Xenopus tropicalis: one gene and its partners. The protein of the gene in region 2 interacts with the protein of the main gene of each other region in a biochemical or structural test. Links are inferred from orthologs where the notes say so. Each region holds a gene or a part of one and is shown on either strand. Other genes may lie near its edges. The genes, in order: shc1, erbb4, abl2, ptpn11, syk, yap1 and nrg1.

Region 1 (4,268 bases), on a different chromosome or scaffold from region 2:
GGGTAGGGGCACAGACAGCAGGTAGGAGTAGAGGGTAGAGATTGGGACTAGAGGGTAGGGGCACAGACAGTAGGTAGGAGTAGAGGGTAGAGGTTGGGACTAGAGGGTAGGGGCACAGACAGTAGGTAGGAGTAGAGGGTAGAGGTTGGGACTAGAGGGTAGGGGCACAGACAGCAGGTAGGAGTAGAGGGTAGAGGTTGGGACTAGAGGGTAGGAGCACAGACAGCAAGTAGGAGTAGAGGGTAGGAGCTGGGACTAGAGGGTAGGAGCACAGACAGTAGGTAGGAGTAGAGGGTAGGAGCTGGGACTAGAGGGTAGGAGCACAGACAGTAGGTAGGAGTAGAGGGTAGGAGCTGGGACTAGAGGGTAGGGGCACAGACAGTAGGTAGGAGTAGAGGGTAGGAGCTGGGACTAGAGGGTAGGGGCACAGACAGTAGGTAGGAGTAGAGGGTAGGAGCTGGGACTAGAGGGTAGGGGCACAGACAGTAGGTAGGAGTAGAGGGTAGGAGCTGGGACTAGAGGGTAGGAGCTGGGACTAGAGGGTAGGAGCTGGGACTAGAGGGTAGGAGCTGGGACTAGAGGGTAGGAGCTGGGACTAGAGGGTAGGAGCACAGACAGCAGGTAGGAGTAGAGGATAGAGGCTGGGACTAGAGGGTAGGGGCACAGACAGCAGGTAGGAGTAGAGGGTAGAGGCTGGGACTAGAGGGTAGGGGCACAGACAGCAGGTAGGAGTAGAGGATAGAGGCTGGGACTAGAGGGTAGGGGCACAGACAGCAGGTAGGAGTAGAGGATAGAGGCTGGGACTAGAGGGTAGGGGCACAGACAGCAGGTAGGAGTAGAGGATAGAGGCTGGGACTAGAGGGTAGGGGCACAGACAGCAGGTAGGAGTAGAGGATAGAGGCTGGGACTAGAGGGTAGGGGCACAGACAGCAGGTAGGAGTAGAGGATAGAGGCTGGGACTAGAGGGTAGGGGCACAGACAGCAGGTAGGAGTAGAGGGTAGAGGCTGGGACTAGAGGGTAGGGGCACAGACAGCAGGTAGGACTAGAGGGTAGGGGCACAGACAGCAGGTAGGACTAGAGGGTAGGGGCACAGACAGCAGGTAGGAGTAGAGGGTAGGAGTACAGACAGTAGGTAGGAGTAGAGGCTAGGACTAGAGGGTAGGGGCACAGACAGCAGGTAGGACTAGAGGGTAGGAGCACAGACAGTAGGTAGGAGTAGAGGGTAGGAGCACAGACAGTAGGTAGGAGTAGAGGCTAGGACTAGAGGGTAGGGGCACAGACAGCAGGTAGGACTAGAGGGTAGGAGCACAGACAGTAGGTAGGAGTAGAGGCTAGAACTAGAGGGTAGGGGCACAGACAGCAGGTAGGACTAGAGGGTAGGAGTACAGACAGTAGGTAGGAGTAGAGGCTGGAACTAGAGGGTAGGGGCACAGAGAGCCCTGGTAGCCCAGAGAAACAAAGCCCAAGAAAGAGAAACATGGCCTTACCCTGACCAGATAGGGAACCCCGGGGCCCATGACCTTGTCGTCGGGGTGCAGCCAGCCTCGGGTGGGCTTATTGACAAAGCTGCCGTGCCGGGTCCATTCGTCGCCGGCCAGTTGGCCTCCTTCCACCCGGGACTTTCGCCCGCAGCTCAGTTTGTTCATATCCTGTGAGAAAACAGTGAAAGTCCGGCCTGATTCGGGGCTACTGCCTTCATTGGGGGTGTCCCCTTGCTCCCCGGGGCTGGCGCTCTCCTTCCCCCCCATGGAGGAAGAGAAGCTGCGCAGGTTAAGCAGGTTGGCCGGGTTGGAAAGTTTCAGGTTGGCCATTTTGGGGAAGAAGGAGCACAGAGTGGTGGGGCTCTCCTCCGACTCAGAGGACAGCTCGGCCAGCGGCAGCATTGGGGCAAGGGAGGAAGACGAGGCAGAGCTGGGCAGGGACACCATGATTTCCACCGAAGGGCTGAGGGGCCCAGCGGCCAAAGCCTCTTCCACCGAGCTGACCGACTCATTGCGAAGGTGATTGTATTTGGTTTTGGGAAGCAGATCCATGATGCCAGCTGCCAGCTTGCACTCGACAGCAATGGGGGGTCTGGTTCTCATAGTCCGGTACCGGGCAAACCTGTATACACGGATCTCCCTCCAGAACCCCACATTGGTACCCCTCCAATCAGCTAGAAAGGGGCAGCCAGGAGCCGGGCTGGGGCATTGGCTTGAGTGCCGGGGAGAGAAGAATCCAGCGGGAGACCAGCAGGTTCTGATCCGGGAGCCAGAGAGAGGAGAGTGTCACTTGGTGCATGTCCCACTCACTGTGCATGGGGGCCCCCTCCCACTGATCAATACATTCCCTACACGGCCGCTGATGGGTGGGTACCTCTCCCCTGGCCTGCGGGGCCCCGGCACCCTACGGAGAGAGGATATGGGAGAGCCGGCAGCACCGAGCAGGAAGGCAGCAGAGGAAATGCTGAGGGGGGGGGGAAATAAATCCATATATTTATATCTCCGATGTGCGGCTGGGGGCTCCTCTGGGGGAAAGGTCAGCGAGGGGGGGGGCTAATCCTTGTGGGAAAATGTGCAGATGGACACCGGGCCGGGGGAGGGAGCCATTCCACCTGCCTTCCTACCCATCTCTGGGGCAGGGAGAGAGCTCAGGTGCAGGGGGGGTGGGAGCCTTGCACTGTGTGCGAGTGTGAGTGAGGGACGGTGAGTGGGAGTCGGGATGAATGGAGCTGGGGCTGCCTGATTACCTATTCACTGGCTCCCAGGAGAAGGAGGCTGCTGCTGGCCAATAGCACGCGCTCTGCTGACTCACCCAGCTACTGCCCCCCCCTCACTTCCTCCTCTCAATGAAACCCACCCCCCCCCTCCTACTCACTACTGGGCCCCGGAGCTGACTATCTACTGCTTGCAACAGTCTCCCCATACATCACAGCCCTCAGTTCATCTAAGCCTGGGGGGCTCAACCAGCATGGAATAATGTGGGGGGGGCACAGAACACTAATAAAATATATATATTCCCAGTCACTTGTCTTTAGGGACTAACTATGGAATGGGGAGCTAGGGGCCCAGCCTGAAGGCCAGTTAGGGGTACCCCTGGAACTATAGCGGGGTGACTGTTACCCAAATGTTTCTATATATCTGTAACCTTGTTATGGGCTAAGGGGGCCCAGCCTGAAGGCCAGTTAGGGGGGGATTTGGGGTGAGTGCTTATTTGTGCCCTGGGTACCCCTGGAACTATAGCAGGGTGACTGTTACCCCAATGTTTCTATATATCTGTAACCTTGTTATGGGCTAAGGGGGCCCAGCCTGAAGGCCAGTTAGGGGGGGATTTGGGGTGAGTGCTTATTTGTGCCCTGGGTACCCCTGGAACTATAGCGGGGTGACTGTTACCCCAATGTTTCTATATATCTGTAACCTTGTTATGGGCTAAGGGGGCCCAGCCTGAAGGCCAGTTAGGGGGGGATTTGGGGCGAGTGCTTATTTGTGCCCTGGGTACCCCTGGAACTATAGCGGGGTGACTGTTACCCCAATGTTTCTATATATCTGTAACCTTGTTATGGGCTAAGGGGGCCCAGCCTGAAGGCCAGTTAGGGGGGATTTGGGGTGAGTGCTTATTTGTGCCCTGGGTACCCCTGGAACTATAGCGGGGTGACTGTTACCCCAATGTTTCTATATATCTGTAACCTTGTTATGGGCTAAGGGGGCCCAGCCTGAAGGCCAGTTAGGGGGGGATTTGGGGCGAGTGCTTATTTGTGCCCTGGGTACCCCTGGAACTATAGCGGGGTGACTGTTACCCCAATGTTTCTATATATCTGTAACCTTGTTATGGGCTAAGGGGGCCCAGCCTGAAGGCCAGTTAGGGGGGATTTGGGGTGAGTGCTTATTTGTGCCCTGGGTACCCCTGGAACTATAGCAGGGTGACTGTTACCCCAATGTTTCTATATATCTGTAACCTTGTTATGGGCTAAGGGGGCCCAGCCTGAAGGCCAGTTAGGGGGGATTTGGGGTGAGTGCTTATTTGTGCCCTGGGTACCCCTGGAACTATAGCAGGGTGACTGTTACCCCAATGTTTCTATATATCTGTAACCTTGTTATGGGCTAAGGGGGCCCAGCCTGAAGGCCAGTTAGGGGGGGATTTGGGGTGAGTGCTTATTTGTGCCCTGGGCACCCCTGGAACTATAGCAGGGTGACTGTTACCCCAATGTTTCTATATATCTGTAACCTTGTTATGGGCTAAGGGGGCCCAGCCTGAAGGCCAGTTAGGGGGGGATTTGGGGCGAGTGCTT
Region 2 (3,500 bases):
CATTCTGTAACTTCTCTCAGCATGGCCAAAGTGGTGGCATCAGGGTACAGGGACAAGAATTTACCAAGGGAGTAGCCTTTCCTTGTTCTGCTGCTATCACCCCCATCATGCAATCATAAAAACATATAAGGCTTATTTGTGTTTAAAATTATTTCTATTAAAGGTACTTGCATCTAGTGATGATCGAATATTTTCGGCAGCCATGGATTTGCAGTGAATTTCCACATTTCGCCATTGGCGAATTGTTTCGCGAAATTTCAGCAAAATTTTGGTGTGAAAAAATTTGCTGTGCGTCAAAATAGGCAAGGACGCATCAAAATGGGCATGTAAAAATGGGCGCGGTTACAGTACAGGCGAACTTACAGCTTCAGTGATGTGTTTCTTATAAGACATGGGGCAGTTTTATTATTGATCAGACTGGGGATTCTTGATATTCAGTAAAGTTTTTAACATAGTGGCATATTTATCAAAGCTGTTGAAAGTTGCTAGACAAGCTGGAAGCTAAGCTGTATTTAGGAAGAAAGGTAAATTTATGAATGAGTTTTTTCAAACCCAGCTAATTTGTTACTGCCATGTAACCTTACTTATTTCTATGCAGCTGCAGAAGGAATGGTTTGTGACCCTCTCTGTTCCAATGCTGGGTGCTGGGGTCCAGGGGCCAATCAGTGCCTGTCCTGTCGATACTTCAGCCGAGGGAAGTCATGTGTCAGATCCTGCAACCTTTATAAAGGGTAAGAGAATAAGGGAAGTATTTGACACGCCTAATTCAAGCCAATATTTGGTAACTGCTATAAATTAATGTACAAATCAGCTTATCAAAATAAGTTGACTAGTTGAAGTTTAACTGCAAGCATTGTTCTACAGCCAGTGGGGGTTGTAAAAGGGTAGGAAAGAGTTAAATTGTTACTAAAATTTGCAGAACATCTTGGCAAAGGGGCAACCCGAGTGTAGCATATTGCCCAGTTTATGGTACTGGGAGGTATAGTTTACCAACAGCTGAAGCTGCTTGGATTCAGTTTTGAAACCAATTAGCTAAAGGCTTAAGAATTTAATTTGACTAGCTGTTGGAGTGGAGCTCCTTAATAATATGTGGAAGACTCCTCCAATTGACCAATTTTATCTTTTATTTAACACAAAATACTCTGATGACCACAAATGCCTTTGCTGGTATCCCCACGTCCACTTCAGGCTTACCTGTCTCTATGAGAAAAACTGCTGTTCCTACTGCCAAAAAGGCCGTCGCCTCTCAGTTTCCTGTTCCTTTTATTCTCTGTTATACACTTTACACTTTATTAGTAGCATGAACATGTTTCACCTTCTTACATGTAGATAGAAAAGCTGCTAGACGCCATGTACCTGCTGGATCTTTGAGAGATGATCTAGATGCACTGTAGGAGGGAGCTGTCAGATTTTGTGGGATATCCCTCCTGTTTATTTTGTGTTAGGAAGGTGCACAATTGTATTTGACCACTGTTTGGCTCTTATTCAAGGGAAGCAAATCAAAGCAATATAATATAAGTAAAGAAAATAAAAAGTGCTGTTTATTAAAAATAATTATGTTGGATATTAAGTGTTGGAAAATTAGAATTACTTAGGGAATAGGTTAAACTATATAATAATATTTAAACGTCTCTCCTTCCCAAACCCCATCTAATGATAACAATGTTACAACTTCAGCCCTGTGTTTGCATTTCACATGCTTTAGTGCCTTTATGTGTTGCACTGGTTAATCTGATGAATTTCCAAACAAAGCTCTAGCCCCCTCCGTCACTTGTGTATCAGTAAATATAATGATCCTTAAGAATGCACCATCAATTTCCATGTGTCCCTCCTACAGCACGATAATAAACAGTCTTTCATTGTAATGAAATCCTCTTCCCCCCCGAGATCATCCATTTTAATTAGCGGATGTTTCCTGGCAAAGCAGGGACATTTCCTCCGCTCCCTTCCATTTTTCATTCCCGCTGAACTCTCCTCCACACCTTATCTCTTTTCACACGTTCCCTCAACTGATTTGCCTTTTCCCACTTGCTCTGCTTTTGTTTTATTGGTTTTCAGTTCCATCTCTTCTGAACTTCACTGTTCCTGATGAAATGAGCTCAAACACAATTGTGGCATTCATTTATAAAGCGCATTTAATTAGTGGAGGAGAAATAGAACTAAAAGCATAACAGTATTTTGTCACATCTGCAAACATAAAGGAAGTTTTCATAAAGTAGCAGAAAGGGCAGACCAAGTTGAATTAAGCGGAATTAATAATATTAGTTTTAGGGTAAAGGGCTGCTGGCTATGAAGAATGGTAAATTTCAGACCACATTCTAGCAGTACTTACCTTCAGGGTTGCTCTAACAAGGTCAGGTACGTGCACTGTGCAATTATTAATCGGACAATAAACAAATAGCTAAGAGTAAGAGATATTTATTTACATATATATTTAGTACTATTTATATCCTGATCTCTCCACCATTTCAAACATTTTTCTACAGAGAATCCCGTGAATTTGTCAATGGCTCTGTCTGTGTAATGTGTGACTCTCAATGCGAGAAGATGGAAGACAGCATAGTCACCTGCTATGGGCCGGTAAGGACTAGCACAGTGGTCTTTAGTACAGTGTCAAAAAGCACTCACATTGCTGTAGCCATTACTTTATGGACATACAGTATCTTTTTTTTTTTTTCTTGTTACTGCAAATGGCCAATGATTCAGATCCATGGCAAGACATTTTTAACTGCTGGCTCTGATTGTTGGTAATGAGACACAGAGCTGTACAATAATTGGCTGAAAGCTGGATCCATTTCTTTTCCATATAGTTCTCTTTTTAAGTGAGATATCAAAGAAAATTAGGCCTAACGGAACGGCACGTGTTAGAGTGATTGCTTTAGTCACAGCTTACTTCGCACGGAGCTTATGGACCTTCTTCTTCACCAGAATAAAAACAGACTTACTAAGGGGTTTTGTTGTAATATACTGAACTTGTTGCAACAGCCTAAAGGTTCAGCATCTCTATAGTAGTAATGACTCAGGTCTTCAGAGTTATCTTGGATTTTGTTAAAGTTTCAGTGGCACTGCACATACTGTTGAGAAGCTTAGTTGTGGTCACAAATTATCAATCAGAAAATGAGGTTTTACTACCATATAAACTGATGCTGCAGGCCTCATTAATAAATTCTGATGCTAATTATACAGGTTTCAGAAATGCCATGTACTAATCCAAATTTTTTATTCATCAGCCTTATATTGTGTGTGACATTTATATTCTATATATAAAGTATATTGTGAGGCAGTTCCTAAGCTCAGCAACTGAAAGCAGCACAGAGCAGGTACAGTGAATCAGTAGAAGAGAATATGGGGAGCTACTGGGGCATCTTTGGAGGCACATATCTTCCCTGCTAAAGGGCTGTGGTTGACTGGGGCTGATACAGAAACCCAAAACATAATATGGAACATTTCTGCTCTACTTCTTTACTTAAGCTTTAGTTCTTCTTAAAAACGATTCAGTG
Region 3 (3,500 bases), on a different chromosome or scaffold from region 2:
CTCTCCTGCACTTCCACGCAAACAGAGGGATAAATCCCCAAGCAGCCTTTTGGGGGACACCAAGGAAACAACCTTCACCCGTGACCGTAAAGGGGGATTCTTCAGTTCTTTCATGAAGAAAAAAAGTGCCCCACAGCCCCCAAAACGCAGCAGTTCATTTCGAGAAATGGAAAACCAACCTCATAAAAGGCCAGAGCTGACAGGAGAACTCCCTTCATTTCAACAGCTTGATAGTTTAGACTCCCCTGCATCCCCTGGTTCCCATAAATGCTATGGTGGTGGATCACAACGTAGTTTTCCACCAGAAGATGTCATAGGAGGAATAGGAGGAGGCTGGACTGGAATTTCTGGTTTTTTTACTCCACGTCTTATCAAAAAGACTTTTGGACTGCGAACAGGAAAGTCAGGAAGCAGTGGGGAGGAACCCAAACCTTTTCCCCGGTCTAATTCAACCTCTTCAATGTCTCCTGCGGTTCCTGAACAAGACAGGCTGTCTATGACTCTGCCCAGAAATTGCCATCGGACTAAGGTCCAATTGGACCGTACCACCTCCATTTCCTCACAGCCTGAAGAGAGCCAGCATGACCTTCAAAGGAGTGGATTAGAGATTCAGCCAGTCAGGGACAGGGTAAAGCCCAAGATGCTTCCACGAACTGGTGTTAGTGAGAGAAATGGTGGTTTGCGAACTGGTGCAGATGAGAAGTCATCACCCAATAAGCACACAGGAGGTGCAACTTCAGCCTTTTCTACAGCAGCCCACAACCACAAGGTGCCCGTTCTCATTTCACCATCACCAAGGAATGCATCTACTGAGGTGCAACTGGTTGGGATGGACTCCCTGGGTCACACCTTCAAATTGCTTCAGGAACACGTCCCACCAACTGGCTCTGAGAGGGATAGGCCTTCTCATCGCCGGCTTAAGCCAAAGTGTGCCCCACCACCTCCCCCAAACCTGCGCCTTCTTCAGCCTCCACAAGCTGAGGACACAGCCACTGCTGCACCTACACTACCTTGCTTGGAAAGGACGACTAAGCCTTCTAGGCCTATGTTACCCCCTCCGCCTTCTGTTAACCAGACAGGAAAGCTCTCAAATGGAGCAGCTGGGGTTGGAAGAAGTGTGCTGAGGAAGCCAAAGCAGCCAACGGAGAGGGTTCCTGCTGAAAAAATAAGCAAAGAGGCTCTTCTTCAGTGTGCAGGGTTGCTATCCGATGCCCTCGCTTTACCCCAACCCAACAGTCAACTTGTAGATACAGGACATCAACTTCTGGACTATTGTACAGGTTATGTGGACTCTATCTCCCAAACAAGAAATAAATTTGCCTTTCGTGAGGCTGTCAGTCGACTGGAGGTGAGCTTACAGGAACTGCAGGTGTCTTCAGCTGGTAGTGGGGGTGCCTCCACAGCTCCCCCTGGTGCAAATCCTGTACTGAATCACTTGTTATCATGTGTACAGGAAATCAGTGACGTTGTGCAGAGGTAGCTACTGATATTTATGCTGAAAAATGTGGGAGGCATTTCTAACTTCTAACCCAGCTTTATAAAATAGCATCCTCCCACTATGAAATACACTGCTGTGTGTAGGCAGTGAGTAGTAACCTCAGCGCTGGGACTGGCCAGTAAAGGGGCTTTGGCCTCCCCAGCACTATGGTTTTAACATGTCAGTTCTGCTGGAAAATACTGGCAGGCAATGCAGCCCAGCAGTAAATATTTTAAGAGAAATCGATATCCAGTAAATATTTTATGTTTCTTCTCCATATCTTCCTATCCCATCTCAGGTTTTTTTGTTTTGTTTTTAGACATATATGTATATTATATATTTTAAATTGGAGATTTCTTTCCTCCCTACTGTTTGGGTCCAAATAGGATATTGGCTAAGTTGGAATGTTCTTTATTTGATAAGCATTTCTGTGTCTAGATAGTGCCAGGAATGAGTGGTGGTTAGGTCTAGTGTCATTTAAAGTAAGAAAAACTGAAAGCAAAAAGAGAGTATCACTGTATGGGAAGTGTTGGAAGGAAAACTGCCTTTGGGGCATATATATTATAGTGAGTAAGCCAACATCACTGGTGATGTTGCCCATAGCCACCTGTCAGATCTTTGCTTTTGTTTTCTAACTTGTAGGTGACAGTTTAAATCTAATTGCTGATTGGTTGCTAAGAGCAATATCACCAGTGAAGTTGGCTTTCATACTATAATAAATATGCTCTTTTGTGTCTATACCTCATTTAGCTTCTTTGCTGCTAAAGGGGCCTGGTGGCCATATCTTTTGCACCATACTAATATGGGCCCCTTGAGGAACAGGCCTCTTTTGCAGTGGACAATTCATAATACCCATTATGGCCTTTTTGTAGGCACAGATCTTACATGAAAAAGACTAAACTTTTTTTTTTCTATAGTGCTTATGTTGATGGTTACTTTCCCTTTGCTAGTTCATTCCAGCCATTACACCCGGCATCACTGTAGTCAATCTGTGTTGCCCCTGTTTCATTATTAACAACATTCCTGAACAATTTTATAATTTAGCACAGGTCATTGTTGAAATCCATGCAGTTTTAAACGGAGTTGGAATGGACATTTTCTCAGAAAGCAATGCTCTCCTGTCTTTTCAGTAGCCATGCTATGGGAGACCTTGAGCAGCTGAAGTGTTACCCAATAATGTTGAGGAGCAGCTTGTATTTTATTGCCATTCTTTTATTTTAAGCAGCTTAAATTGAAAGCCAAGCGCAATGCTTGTGGGTATATTTTTCAGGAATTTAGCCATTTAAAAGTGCTCCAATTTTAAGGAGCTGTAAATTTTTTCCCCCTCTAGTTTAATGGAAATTATACATGGTTTATCAGTACCTGAAAGGTAGATCACCTTTCTCAGTAAAAGCAATTGAGGTAGAAGTTTACCATATTATTTTGCTTTTGCATTAATATTGTCTGTTTTGAATAGAAGCTGCTATTGAGACCGTTTCAAAAACATTGATTCACTGAATGTTTCTTTCCATTGCAAAAACCCAGTCTTTTCCCCTTGGCACGATGATAGGTTTCCTGGGAGGTTTTCAGGATAAGAGTAGGATACTCAGGCTCTTTAAATCAATGTATAAAAAGTATTCTACATTGGAATGGTTATATTCGGCCGATATGTTGGTACAGTATTAAATTAATTCATATTTTTGTTACAATGGCCCGAAGTACTTGCACCTGGACTATACTGGAAAATAGGCAGAACTGGAGTTTTAAGCTGAATAACTGGCAGCACTTGTACATGCAAACACATTTCCCTGCACATCAAAACTAAAAAGGTGTGCGTGCTCTCCCGCCCAATCAAGGGACCTCTCTATGTTAACACTATAGGTAGAGTTCTCCAGCACATCTCATCATTTATTTATATGGCATCAGAAAGTTAATCGTGCTTTACATTAACTTTTAACTGACAGGGATCTTAAATAATTTCACCAACAAGGGTTACAGAGTGAAAAACAGGATCTTATAGGTTATACTTTCTTTAATGGGCAGA
Region 4 (4,104 bases), on a different chromosome or scaffold from region 2:
AGGCTTACATTTAATGCGGCTATCCCTTCAACCACATTGACAGGGGTCAGTTACAACTAAGTAGAACAGGTAATTAAATAACATTTACCATTACAAACAACTCAATTTAAAAACACAAGGGCTTTCCTTCTTTAAAAGGTGAGCAAGAAACAAAAAGAGGGACTAAAGAAGTTGTTCTAGGTGATGTTCCATAAACGTGAGGGCAACTTCTGTTACTTTATTTCAAGAGTACATCATAAGTCACCTTTTCGGCTGCCCTAACCATATAAATGGATCTTCAACCAAGAAGTGCACAATTAAATAATTTTAAGGCATTTGTTAATGCAGTTGTGTATTCCTGTTTCGGACCCTTGAAATAGATGAACACAAATCAGCCCTCATACAGTGTTACTTTTTTTTTTTTATTTTCATGATGCAGGAAAGTTGCTTAGTGGGTAAATATTAATTTAGACAGCAAATCCTGCATTATACATGCATTTATTGACAGATTTGCAAGTAGTGGCTTCTACGGCGTTTCGGAACTCTAAAGAGGAGATTTAGGGCCAGGGTTTTAAACGATAAACCTACGTAGCAAAAGCTCTTAAACTACATGCTTCCTTTCAGTAAAGAAAATGCCAACAAGCATTCGGCGGCCTCAAACCCCACTCCGACCGATCATCCGGTATTTGTGCCAAACAGGACGCCAAAGACCAAAAATACAGAGATAAAAAGATGCTAGACAGGGTCAGTAACATACATCGTGGATTTAAGAGGATGTGGACAATCATGCAGGCTAGGATTACAGCAGATTAAACTACACACTAGTACGTCTATTTTACAGGAACCGCCATTCCTACCTTGGCTGTAAGGAAAAAGAATTAACATCCGGGCAACGCACGTATAAGAACCTGCCGCGTTACGTCACGGCCGCCGCTGGGAACTCTGGGAAACGTAGTCCTCCATTCTAATACTATCTACAAACAGATAGAAGCGGTATAGTAATTTCATCAAATGGTGCTTTGGTATCGCTTTCCCTTAATTAGCGACTGGTTCACTTGCTGACAGTTAAAACACAGGTTATTAAAGAATCTGGCCATCCAATGAAGCCGGAAATGATGAAATAAAGGCCGGTCGTCTGCTTGCCCCAGAAGTTAGAAACAGAATATTTCGTCAAAAATCGTGGCCAACACAGATGCCATTCTTTAATATACCACTCTCTGCACAACTTTACTGGTGTATTTTAAGTTAGAAGCGGTAGTACAACAACTCGTCTCCTCGACTTGGCGCTGTCTAATGACGTCATCCTTTGCGGACCGGGCAGAGTTGGTTGTAGAGTTTAAGGCCTCCATGGAGCTAACACTCAAATAAACGTTCTGAATCAGTCAGCCACCGACTGGGAGAGAAGGGGGTGTACGCGGCGGGTCGGTGTTGCAGCCTCCGTCCCAAAACAGCGCACAAAGGGGGCGAGCTAGAGAGTGAGTGCGGGTCACAGAGACCAGGAGCTGGGCTCATACAATGACATCCAGGAGGTGAGATTGCGCAAAGTCTCATTGTATCTGTTCTGTCAACACTGTCAGTCGCTGTCTGCCTTTCCTATTCGCTGCGCCTTATGCTGTCTTAGAAGCTTCTCTTCTGTCTGCTCGCTTTTTGCATGTGGCGCTGCTCGGGTTTAGTACTTTCCAGCTGTGAAGGATCAAAAAGTCCCACAGTCCCACACTACCCCAGCAACCGTGGCTGAACTACAACTCGCAGCAGCTGAGGCGGAACGTCTTATCCCCAAACAAGTGTAGTTCCTACTCGTTGTACTTGCTCATTCATTCATTTGTTCCTGACGGGACATAGGCATTACACTGGCGTTACACTGGCATTACACTGGAAAGTGGAGCTCCTTTAGTTGTTAACGCGATTGGGACCCCGTTTAAAGAACGAGCGCCTCAAGAAATATGTGAATCTATATTCTTTTCAAACACTGTAGCAGAAGTGTGCTTCTTTGTGGCTGTTTATTAGCTGGCCTTGGCTACATTGTTGCAAACCTCAGAGCCATCAGGGCAGAGAATAAAAATAGGCACATCGATACTAGCTGGTATATTTGTTTACAAATACCTTTAAAACAATTACAATGTGTAATTAATACGTGCTTAAAAGTGTCTACAAGTACAGGTTTTTATTAAGCAATGTTTTTTTTTTGTTTTTGTTTTTATATTTTCTTTGAAGTAGAGAATGTACTGACATGTATGTAAACACAAAGTGGGTGTAGTTAATAACCTGGCAACCTGGTACATATATCTTATTTATTTAGCCATGGTGGGTGGGAGGGAGGCAGCTTATTCTCTTGTGTAACAGCATCCTTATTCCAAGCTGTCTCCACACATTTTCTTACCAGACACCAATTCTTTCACCTGACAGGCAGCTCAAGCAAAGGGGCAGACTTGCCTCTGACCAAGCAGACTGACTATTGATTTTTATGATCAGCCACAGTAAAACTACAGCATTTGTCTGTCTAGTTTGTCCTGCTAAAATGAGATCACATTGCAAGTGCCATGGAATACTGATCACTTTACATTTAAGTAATGAATAAAGATACAATTGTCCCTTTAACTCAGTGATCCCCAGCCATTGGCTCAGGAGCATGATGTTGCTCACCAACCCCTTAGATGTTGCTCCCAGTGCCCTTAAAGCAGGTGCTTATTTTTGAATTTCTGGTTGGAGGCAAGTGTTGGTGGCATAAAAACCAATTGTTATGCCAAGCAGAGCCTCATATAGCCTGTCAGTCCACAGAGAGGCTACCAAAAAACCATTTGCAGCACTTATATGGAACCCCCGGGAACTTTTTTCATGCTTGTGTGTGTGTGTGTATGTATGTATGTATATCTTTATTTATAAAGCGCTACTTATGTACGCAGCGCTGTACAGTAGAATACATTAATACAAACAGGGGGTTAAAGATAATGGATAAATACAAAGTACAACAATAAATACAAGGTGCAGTTGCAATAAGAGTCAGAAACAAGATGAAGGAGGTCCCTGCCCCGTAGAGCTTACAATCTATATGGGAGGGGTAACTAACAGACACAAATGGGCAAATGTAAGTTCTGTAGGTCACAGTGGGTGACACTACAATATAAGTGCCAGTTCCCAGATCAGGTGCTGGGTGAGTGCTCCAAAAGGTAGTCTTTAAGTTTAGATTTAAAAAGACTGAGGGAGGATTCTCTCCGGAGGAAATCGGGGAGGGCATTCCAAATGTAAGGGGCAGCAAGGCAGAAAGGTTTAAGGCGGGAAACAGCAGTAGTGGTGGGGGGCGCAACCAAACGGTTGTTCTGCGAGGAACGAAGGAGTCGACCGAAATGTTTTTACAGTTAAAATGTGGATCATGGGTAAAAAGGGTTGGAGACCCCTGCTCTAACTTTGGTAGTTTCTCTTATTGCAGCAGACATACACGTCATCTGAGAAACTTAATATTACATGTTACAGGCTTTGATGGGGGAAATGCTGATGTGTAGCTTTCAGAGGAACATAAATCGGATGCTATCATTCCTGTCATGTTTGGGACCTGGGGTTTGCAGATAAGGCATCTTGTATCTCTAGACCTTAAGTCTTCTAAAAATAATTTAAACATTAAATAAACCCAATAGGAAATAATGTTGCTTAGTTAATATCAAATACAAGGTACTGTTTTATTATTACAGAGAAAAATTCATTTTTTTTAAATTACAAGTAATTGCTTTAAATGGACTCTATAGGAGTTGGCCTTAATTCAGACCTTTCTGGATAACAACTTTCCAGATATCAGTTCCCGTATCTGTACTACATTTTCCATGTTTTGTCCATTTTGTGACTGATGATAATTATTCTTAAAAGTAAGAGCTACCATATTGCTTAGGTGCCAGTTACTCAGCTAGGGTAAGTAATATAACATTTTCCTCAAATTACTGATTATGTTCTGAACTTGTGACCTCATGTTCATATTGATGGCTAAAACTAGCAATGAGTGGGTATGCAAGAGTGTGATACATCACCTTATTTTATTACCTTGGGAAAGAAGCACAAAAGGTGATAGGGTAGGGGAGAAGCAGAATGCACAAAGTACAAAAAGGAATATTTTAAGCAGACAGTCCAAATTTAAAC
Region 5 (2,470 bases), on a different chromosome or scaffold from region 2:
TTATGTGACCTTCACTCAGCACTAGAAGAATCAGCCTGGTGTCCAACTAAGATTTTCATTTATACTATAGCATGTGTGCTTTCTTTAAAGGCAAAGACTGCGGGTAAATGGCCCATGAAATGGTATGCCCCTGAATCATTAAACTATCATAAGTTTTCAAGCAAAAGTGATGTATGGAGCTTTGGAGTTCTGATGTGGGAGGCATATTCCTATGGTCTAAAGCCATATCCGGTAAGTTGGTGGTTCTTCTGTTTTATTATATTTATCATTGTTTCATTGTTAGGAGGTGTTGTTTGCCATACCTAATGTGTTTTCATTTTACAATAGGTAGGCAGAGTCTGTTGGATGATATACCCCTTTAGAGAAGTATAGGATATACTCAGTTGCCCACGGTCTAGTTCTCTTAGTTTAATAGCGAATCCAATTCCATACTATCTATGCCCCTGCTAAACAACATATTAAATCACAACTCAAAATACATCTTATTCATAAAGACTCTTTATTTCCATTCTTGAGCAGAAGCTATTAACCCCCTCATGTAATAAAAGGCACTAAGATTGCGAGGGGCAGTAACCCATAGCAACCAATAAGTTGTTTTGTTCCCATATTACCGCATCTAGGTAGTGCTGCAGGATTTTGGTTGTACAGACTTTAGGGCAGGGAAAAAAAATACATTTTATATAGGAAGATGATATTTATACGTAATTCATCATCCACCATTAGAATATCAAATGGCAGCTTTTACAAGGAAAGAGAAAACAAAGTTCAACACCAATATAATGATTGCATTCTATATTCTATCAGGGAATGAAAGGTAATGAAGTGACAGCTTTTATTGAATCTGGAAACCGCTTGGAGTGCCCGCGACGTTGTCCTGCAGAAATGTACAATTTAATTAAATTATGTTGGACATATAAGTAAGTATGAAGCAGAGTTTTTATTAGCCTACTACAAAAAAGATAAGATCTAATTGGTTGCTTTGGACAAGTGAACAAGTGCAATATATCACCTATAACTGCAAATCAGCCCCCTGATCTTTCATCATGGTTACATAGTTACATAGTTACATAGGGTTGAAAAGAGACCAGAGTCCATCAAGTTCAACCCATCCAAGTAAACCCAACACACACAACCTATAGTGACCTATCTATACACTCACATACATAAACTATATATACAACCACTAATACTAACTGTAGATATTAGTATCACAATAGCCTTGGATATTCTGATATTTGGATATTTACTTGTTTCCCACCTATCTCTTTTACAGGACAGAGGAGCGACCATCTTTTGCTGTAGTTGAACTGAAACTGCGCAGTTATTATTATGATAGTTCTCACTGATTTGAAGCCAAAGGGACAGACACATTTGCACAACCAGGAACTTTTTCAGGGTGTTTGGGTGATTAGTGCACATGTGTATATCTGTGTGTGTGTGTATGTGTGTAGGAATGGGTTCTATTATCCAGAAACCCAGTATACAGAATGCTACAAAATACAGCAGTGTCCTTTTCCATAGAGTCCTATTTAAGTCATCAATTCTTCTTTCTTTAGTTATTTACTTTTTCTTTGTTTTAATAGAGCAGTTCCATGTACTTGATGGTAATGTAGCTAATCCAGGTTGGTGGCAACACAATCCTATTGGATTGTTATTTGCTTTGAGCTATGGTGCTCCAAATTACAGAAAGACCCCTCATCCTGAAAGCCTCAGGTCCCCAGCATTTAGGATAATAGATTCCATTCCTCCATTTGAATATGGCCTTTTTATGTGTGTTTTTTAAATTCAAAATAGGTATATGTATATGAAAACATCTTTATTTTTTAGCAGTATGGTGCTGAGAATACTGGAGCATGTAACAGTTATTATAACTAATAAATGTTTATTTTATACTTAATTAAATGCTCTTTTAATATATATATACCTGTCTGTAAAGTCTAATAATGTACCAAATAAAACAGTTTTCAGTAGTACTGTCTACGTTGTTGCACACAACTGATTCCCTGTAGATCAGAGTTGGGCAGAGTTCACTAAAATATAGCTTGAGGGCTGCAAGCAGGTCATTTATATTTATGTTCAGATTCCAAAATTTCTGCAATAGAAAATCTTGTACATATTGGGTCCTGTTGAAGCCACAAGTCAATGTTAGAGTGGAAATGTCCTCAACATATGGGATTAGCCTCCCATGTATGTATGTATGTATAATTTTATTTATAAAGCGCTACTTATGTACGCAGCGCTGTACAGTAGAATACATTAATACAAACGGGGTTAATAAGATAAAAGATAAATACAAAGTATAACAATAAATACAAATAAATACAAGATACAGTTACAGTTGCAATAAGTTAAGAGTCAAAGACACAAGAGGGTGGAGGTCCCTGCCTCGTAGAGCTTACAATCTATATGGGAGGGTAACTTACAGATACAAATAGGCAAATATAAGTGATGTAGGTCACAGTGGTATAAG
Region 6 (2,588 bases), on a different chromosome or scaffold from region 2:
ACATTTGGTTCTACATCATAAATCATTTCTAGTGGCAGGAGGGCACAGTGTGTTTTTGCTGATTTATGGCCCTTTGGCCCTGCCTGTGGCTTCCATGACGTGTTGTGTCTACACTGCCTGAACGGTTGTCGGTTGCAGGTTATCTTTACCTTTGGGCAGTTTATAGGTAAACAAGGAAAGTGGTGCACGTTGCCCTTTCCAATGTTGATGGCTTAGATGAGTTGCTCTTTTATTTGCTTGTCGGGTCCGTGCCCAATGGCCATTGTTTGGCATTTGGTCACACTGCTTACATAGAGCATCAGCCGGTCTATAGCTGCCCATACATGGGCCAATATTCGCTGCTGGCTCAGCCTATACAGATCAAGTCAGTAGATTATTGCCTGGACAGATGTGCAAATCCCATCTGGAAAGCCCACTGCAGGGACATTGACACTTTCAGTTTTAATAGGGAGGTGTCTCCGTGCCTATATATACCCTAGTGTCACTCATCTTTTCTATTGGTTGTGCCCCCTGCCACCCCCAGCTCACCACTTACTAACCTGTGTAGATCTCAAATATGGCTTAAGCTTTGAGTGACGACACACTTTGTGGTAGAGAAAGGTTCTGATTAGCTGACAGACAAATGTTATCAGTATCACTATTTCTCTATGTGCTCTTACCTGATGGGGTGCCATAAGCTCTTATATATGAACACGTCTTTAGCTAGGGGGTAAATTATTGAGTCAGCCTGAATTGACCTATCACAAGCCCCAGATCCAGCGAACGCTGTTTCTTTTATACATTTGCCAGTACTAGATGCAGTGAGATACCAGCAAATGCTACTTGCATAATCCTTTATTGGCAGATTCCCATTGTACCTACCACTGGCACCTGAGGGTAAGTTGTTGTAGGTGGGAAGTTTTACACAGACTTCAAACAAAACCCTAATCTGAGGATCTAAAAACTTGGCCCCAGTCATGATACGTTGCCTTGATAACTGGTAAAGGACAATGAAAGGTTAATTTACTAGTCGGGTGGGGGCCAAAATGTTGGGCACCCCCAGTGAATTTAATGGCAATGTTTTTCCCCCCAGGCAGGTGCTCCTTTTAGGAATGTGTTTGCAAACAAGGCTAAACTTACCATGTCCTTTCTTTTTCAGCTATGAATCAACAGAGGTTGAGCCAGAGCGCCCCAGTCAAATCGCCGCCCGCGTTACCGCCCCAGAGCCCTCAGAGTGGGGTGCTAGGCAGTGGCGGTAACCAACAACAGATGCGCCTCCAACAGCTACAGATGGAGAAAGAGCGTCTCCGGCTAAAGCACCAAGAACTGCTTCGGCAGGTGAGGCCACAGGTTAGAAACCGCCTTTTGTTTCTTATCTATGTGTTTGTCTTGTCCTATAAGAGTAGCCAAGGGGATGGTAGATTGTGCTCAACTTGGGGCGCTCGGGTACTGAGGGTCATTGGCATTCTGTAGCCAACACTAGGCGTGAAACCTATGAACAATGACTACCCCCCCAAAGCTTGGTCTCACCCACCAGGCTGCACCCCTAACAGCACCTTCCCGCTGCACTATGGGGTAACAGAGCCGGGCTGGCTAATGAAGCCCTGGCCTTGGCAGGAGTTGGGGGCTTTTGGCACACAAGGTGCATCACCCTCACAACTGGTTTGCCGGCAGCTTAACTGTAACACTTGTGGAGTCAGCGTGGCACCCTGATTCTCTGCCCGCCCTGATCCCATTGTAAATAATATCGCTTGGCTTTACATTAATCGCTTCCTTTTAAAGCCAGACAATATATTGCCGTGCAGCACCTCGCTGAATACCTGAAATAAACTTCTCTGGTTTTTCTCGTTTTCGGGTTGAAAAACCTGTCTTTGAGCAGAAACCTTCCCAGAGCTCGTCTCAGACAATATTGTGTTCTTTTTCCCCCGCGACGCAGTTGTTTCTATAACAAGTCGCTGACATGCGTTGGCTGCACGTTTTTCTTCAGGGATTTGAGCCCTTTGTGTGCCCGAGCCTTTGATCATTATTGCTGCCCACAAACCGGATATAAACTCTGTATATAAACAGCTTTTATTCCCTGTTTCTCTTAAAGGGTTGCAAGAGTTGGACCGACCTTACTGTCTTTTTAAAGAAAATGGTATAGGGGAATGATTTAGTATACAGAGCATAGAGTGAGCCGCCATATTGCTTTCACATGCCATTATGCTTATACCTGTAAAATCATCCCACGAGCCGCTGTTTTACCTTTAACTTGGTGCTTTCATACTACATAGGGGTAATTGGATGATATCCATAGTAGTGTATGGGAGATCTGAGACTGCAGCTCACATGATATCCCCTGGGTTATATTCTGGCCCCTATAGCTGCTGTTTGGGGTAAGCTCACAGAGGGCAGATAACCTACATGGGGTTGTGCCCCTATGCATTCGGGCAGTTGCCCATATATAGGGCAGATGCAGTTGTACAGTTGAAGCAGATATATTCTGCCGCTTTCCCTAACCAAACAAGCAGTTATTGAATTTAATAGTACACAGGATCCATTGTTTTCCAGGAACTCGCTCTCCGCAGCCAGATCCCACCAATGGAGCAGGACGGCGGCACTCAGAACCC
Region 7 (3,500 bases), on a different chromosome or scaffold from region 2:
AGGGAAGACTAAAGCTCACCATACACTGAGCAATAGGCTTAGCAAGGTCACCAGATGAGCAGATCTTTATCTTATTGATCCAGTTAGCCTTTGGGCCAAACAATTGGATCACAGTGACAGGATGTGGGCCATCAGGGTGAGGACTGCATCAATAAGCCAATGCACTTTTCACCCTAAAGGGATTTTTAAACCTGCTCGATCAGTATCAGTCGGGCAGGTCCATCTGAAGGTTCCATACACAGGACAATAAGTTGGCAACTTTAATCACCCTATGTATGGCCACCTTAAGAATATGTATGATATGCTATTGGTTATTGAATTAGTGCATGTTTTCCCATTGTCATATGGGCAAGTATATTTATATACTTTATATTTATATTTGAGTTTTAATATTTTACAGCCAACTAATTTTTGGTCCTTTTAATTTTATAGTATACATTTTTATGCAATTAAATTAATCCAATAGTTTTGTTAGTATGTTTGTATTTCCTAAAATCTGTACAGGTATGGGACCTGTTATAAAGAATGATCTTGACCTGGGGTTTTCTGGAAAAGAGGTCTTTTCCATAATTTGGATCTCCATACTTGTGTCTGCTAAAAAAAAAAAAAAAATTAAACATTAACTAAACCCATAGAATTGTTTTGTCTACAATAAGAATTAATACTATCTTAAGTGAGATTGAGTACAAGGTACGGTTTTATTTTACAGAGAAAAAGAAAGTATGCTTTAAAGTATGGAATTATTAAATTAAAATGGAGTATATTAGCAATGGCCTTCCCATAATTCTAAACTTTCTGGATAATGGGTATTTAGATATGGTATTTGCAGGTATTTACCTGCAATGTAAATTCAATATGATTGTTGATATATTGAATGGGTGTAATGACAAACCTGTTTGTTCACCTGACATTGCAATTCCCAGTATGTACAAAAATCTCCTCAATAGTTTGTAATAAAATTATCCTGATTTTGGGGTCAACTGAGAGACTATTCTTGTGGCATGATAATAAGTGCAACAGTTAATAAACCTGTATACTAGTGCACTAATGGTATTATCTGTTTTGTCAGGTGACACCACAACTGGACCAGGTCACCTTATAAAATGCTCAGACAAAGAAAAGACCTACTGTGTCAACGGAGGAGAGTGCTATGTCCTCAATGGTATAACAAGCAGCAACCAGTTCATGTGCAAGTAAGACAAGTTTACAGACTGCAATACTTTGAATGACATGTTTATTTTGACTGGAAAGTAACTATCCAACCTAAAGTCTTGTGCTCTTTGAAGTGTAATGGTATTGCTGCAAGGCTGTCCTGCTCTTGGCCATCAAGCTGTTGTTGAATGACAAGTCCCAGAACATTGTTAAGTGATGTCGGGTTATGAAAATATTATACATCTTCTAAGATTACATATTATAGTTAATGGGTAATTTTAGCACATTTTGATAAAACCTGAAAACAATAATTTTTTTTTACCAATTAAAAATTGGTTTATTGTCCTTAGAGTATTCAGAAAAGTGTAAATCTATAGCTTATATTATGCTTTTAACATTTCATATTACCCTTTTTGCTTTAGCCAAAAAAGGTAATATGGATACACAGTATAGCGATAAAACCTTTTTAATACCATAAAAATACCACATTTACCCCCATTTTTAATAAAAGGCATTATGTTTACCTGGAAGCAGTAACCCATAGAATCAATAAAATGTTTGCTTTTAAACAGGTGATCAAAAATGTTACCTGCTGGTTGGTTGCTATGGGTTACTGTTCCTGTGTAAACCTAGTGCCTTTTATTACATAACCCCATAAATCTTCTATATAACCTCCAGCAAGCACACATGCAAACACGCAATCAGTTCATTTATATCTGAACTCACTAAAATGACCTGGAATAATAGCGAGCAGCCAAAAACACAATTTTTTTTAGTATGAAATGCTGTATGATCCCTTCCTAGTTCCACCCAATTGTTTCATTACTTTCATAGCCTACATATTTCCATTACATTACTACAAAAAACAGAAAATTATATTCTTTAAAGAATAATATATTTGTGTATTTTTCCTTTTCAATAATAATGCAGATTTGATTATCTAGTGTACATAACATTTGATAGGTATCTTTAACAAAAGTTTCAGCACTTCAATGCTCCTTTCTCAAAATTGGACTTATGCTTGGAATCATATATATCATATAGTCATATATTACCTATTCATGTAATAAAAACCATATTAGCATGTATAAATAAGGGGGAATAAGAACGTATTTACTAATTTTCTGTAACAAAAGCACAGTACTTGTTGGATATTACTTTCTTCCTTTTTCTTTAATATGTTACATAGCTTTTGATTTTTTACATGGCACTGGGTTATAAAAGTGAACATTTAAAACTGTATTTGTTTCATGTGGATATTGTAATACTGTACTGATATAGCAGTGTTTATGCTTTCAAGTTGTTATTTAACTTAATTGCAACTCTTAGCAAAAAATGCAGAGCAACAAGTTGATTGTCCAAAGTAAATTAGGAGAGATTAGAAGAGATTCTGAGTAGCCGTGGGGAAAACAACTCCACGTGTAACATTGTCAATATGAATATCATAAGTGTAAAAATAATTTCTTCTTCTATGCACATTAGGCACCACCACAATCCCATTAAATTTACCCATTCAATTTAATACAGAGAGTATTTATATAAGTGTTAGAAGCTATTACATTATTACATTAATAACACATATTTACAAACTGCCAATATAATCCACAGTGCTATATACAGTTAATGGGTATATACAATGAATATACAGATTTATATACAAAGCAACCAATAATGTGATACAGAAGGAGAAGAGGGCCCTGCCCAAAAGAGTTTACAATCTAGAAGCCTGGTAAACTATACGGGGGTTATGTAATAAAAGATGCAAAGTTTGGTACTGGTCACCAATACGAATCATTCAGAAATTAACATTTAATGATCATCGGTTTAAAAGCAAGCACTTTATTGGTTGTTCTACGTTACTGCACCTGGGCAAGTAGAGGCAAATTACATATAGGGGCAACTGTCTATACCAAACCAGTTTAATTTTATTTTCACAATCAATAAGTGATTGTTTTAATCTTTTACTATAATCTGCTGTTATTTTGACTATGGTGATGAAAAATGTGTTTATTTAATGTTTATAGTATATCAACACAACTTATTTTTATCCTTAAGGCCTTCAGTTTATTTAATGTTTATAGTTTATCAACACAATGTATTTTTATATTATCCATCAGGCCACATTGTATTTTTGCTCTTTTATTTTTTATAAACAGGCTATGTAAGTCTATATATTTTTCAGTTAGAATACTTTTGCTAATTTGCATTATCAATTAATGTGCTGAGTAAAGTCTACAACCATGAGGTTTGTAGAAGGTATAAACTAAAATGTTCACTTTTTACATTTTTTTCCACCTTGGTGTCAGGATCATAAAAGAGCTGCTGATGCCCTAAAGAAGCAAAATGCA

Evidence for each region.
Region 1: the proteins of erbb4 (region 2) and shc1 form a complex in vitro, tested with the Homo sapiens proteins (2 studies listed by BioGRID and IntAct, with this or other methods). The link is inferred for Xenopus tropicalis from reciprocal best matches to the Homo sapiens genes ERBB4 and SHC1.
Region 3: the proteins of erbb4 (region 2) and abl2 form a complex in vitro, tested with the Homo sapiens proteins (2 studies listed by BioGRID and IntAct, with this or other methods). The link is inferred for Xenopus tropicalis from reciprocal best matches to the Homo sapiens genes ERBB4 and ABL2.
Region 4: the proteins of erbb4 (region 2) and ptpn11 form a complex in vitro, tested with the Homo sapiens proteins (2 studies listed by BioGRID, with this or other methods). The link is inferred for Xenopus tropicalis from reciprocal best matches to the Homo sapiens genes ERBB4 and PTPN11.
Region 5: the proteins of erbb4 (region 2) and syk form a complex in vitro, tested with the Homo sapiens proteins (2 studies listed by BioGRID and IntAct, with this or other methods). The link is inferred for Xenopus tropicalis from reciprocal best matches to the Homo sapiens genes ERBB4 and SYK.
Region 6: the proteins of erbb4 (region 2) and yap1 form a complex in vitro, tested with the Homo sapiens proteins (2 studies listed by BioGRID and IntAct, with this or other methods). The link is inferred for Xenopus tropicalis from reciprocal best matches to the Homo sapiens genes ERBB4 and YAP1.
Region 7: the proteins of erbb4 (region 2) and nrg1 form a complex in vitro, tested with the Homo sapiens proteins (2 studies listed by BioGRID and IntAct, with this or other methods). The link is inferred for Xenopus tropicalis from reciprocal best matches to the Homo sapiens genes ERBB4 and NRG1.

Annotation. Positions count from the first base shown.
Region 1 is NC_030684.2:145,082,904-145,087,171, reverse strand, and holds the start of shc1 (SHC-transforming protein 1), read right to left. Parts: upstream 2,801-4,268; 5' UTR 2,086-2,800; coding exon 1,489-2,085; intron 1-1,488. UniProt on the Homo sapiens protein: Signaling adapter that couples activated growth factor receptors to signaling pathways. Participates in a signaling cascade initiated by activated KIT and KITLG/SCF.
Region 2 is NC_030685.2:57,165,216-57,168,715, reverse strand, and holds part of erbb4 (receptor tyrosine-protein kinase erbB-4), read left to right. Parts: intron 1-598; coding exon 599-731; intron 732-2,486; coding exon 2,487-2,580; intron 2,581-3,500. UniProt on the Homo sapiens protein: Tyrosine-protein kinase that plays an essential role as cell surface receptor for neuregulins and EGF family members and regulates development of the heart, the central nervous system and the mammary gland, gene transcription, cell proliferation, differentiation, migration and apoptosis.
Region 3 is NC_030680.2:99,860,116-99,863,615, reverse strand, and holds part of abl2 (tyrosine-protein kinase ABL2), read left to right. Parts: coding exon 1-1,480; 3' UTR 1,481-3,500. UniProt on the Homo sapiens protein: Non-receptor tyrosine-protein kinase that plays an ABL1-overlapping role in key processes linked to cell growth and survival such as cytoskeleton remodeling in response to extracellular stimuli, cell motility and adhesion and receptor endocytosis.
Region 4 is NC_030677.2:163,806,652-163,810,755, forward strand, and holds the start of ptpn11 (tyrosine-protein phosphatase non-receptor type 11), read left to right. Parts: upstream 1-1,304; 5' UTR 1,305-1,494; coding exon 1,495-1,508; intron 1,509-4,104. UniProt on the Homo sapiens protein: Acts downstream of various receptor and cytoplasmic protein tyrosine kinases to participate in the signal transduction from the cell surface to the nucleus. Positively regulates MAPK signal transduction pathway. Dephosphorylates GAB1, ARHGAP35 and EGFR.
Region 5 is NC_030677.2:138,474,559-138,477,028, forward strand, and holds the end of syk (tyrosine-protein kinase SYK), read left to right. Parts: intron 1-90; coding exon 91-231; intron 232-804; coding exon 805-917; intron 918-1,273; coding exon 1,274-1,346; 3' UTR 1,347-1,970; downstream 1,971-2,470. UniProt on the Homo sapiens protein: Non-receptor tyrosine kinase which mediates signal transduction downstream of a variety of transmembrane receptors including classical immunoreceptors like the B-cell receptor (BCR).
Region 6 is NC_030678.2:162,266,733-162,269,320, reverse strand, and holds part of yap1 (transcriptional coactivator YAP1), read left to right. Parts: intron 1-1,138; coding exon 1,139-1,329; intron 1,330-2,529; coding exon 2,530-2,588. UniProt on the Homo sapiens protein: Transcriptional regulator with dual roles as a coactivator and corepressor. Critical downstream regulatory target in the Hippo signaling pathway, crucial for organ size control and tumor suppression by restricting proliferation and promoting apoptosis.
Region 7 is NC_030677.2:96,880,261-96,883,760, reverse strand, and holds part of nrg1 (pro-neuregulin-1, membrane-bound isoform), read left to right. Parts: intron 1-1,069; coding exon 1,070-1,193; intron 1,194-3,500. UniProt on the Homo sapiens protein: Direct ligand for ERBB3 and ERBB4 tyrosine kinase receptors. Concomitantly recruits ERBB1 and ERBB2 coreceptors, resulting in ligand-stimulated tyrosine phosphorylation and activation of the ERBB receptors.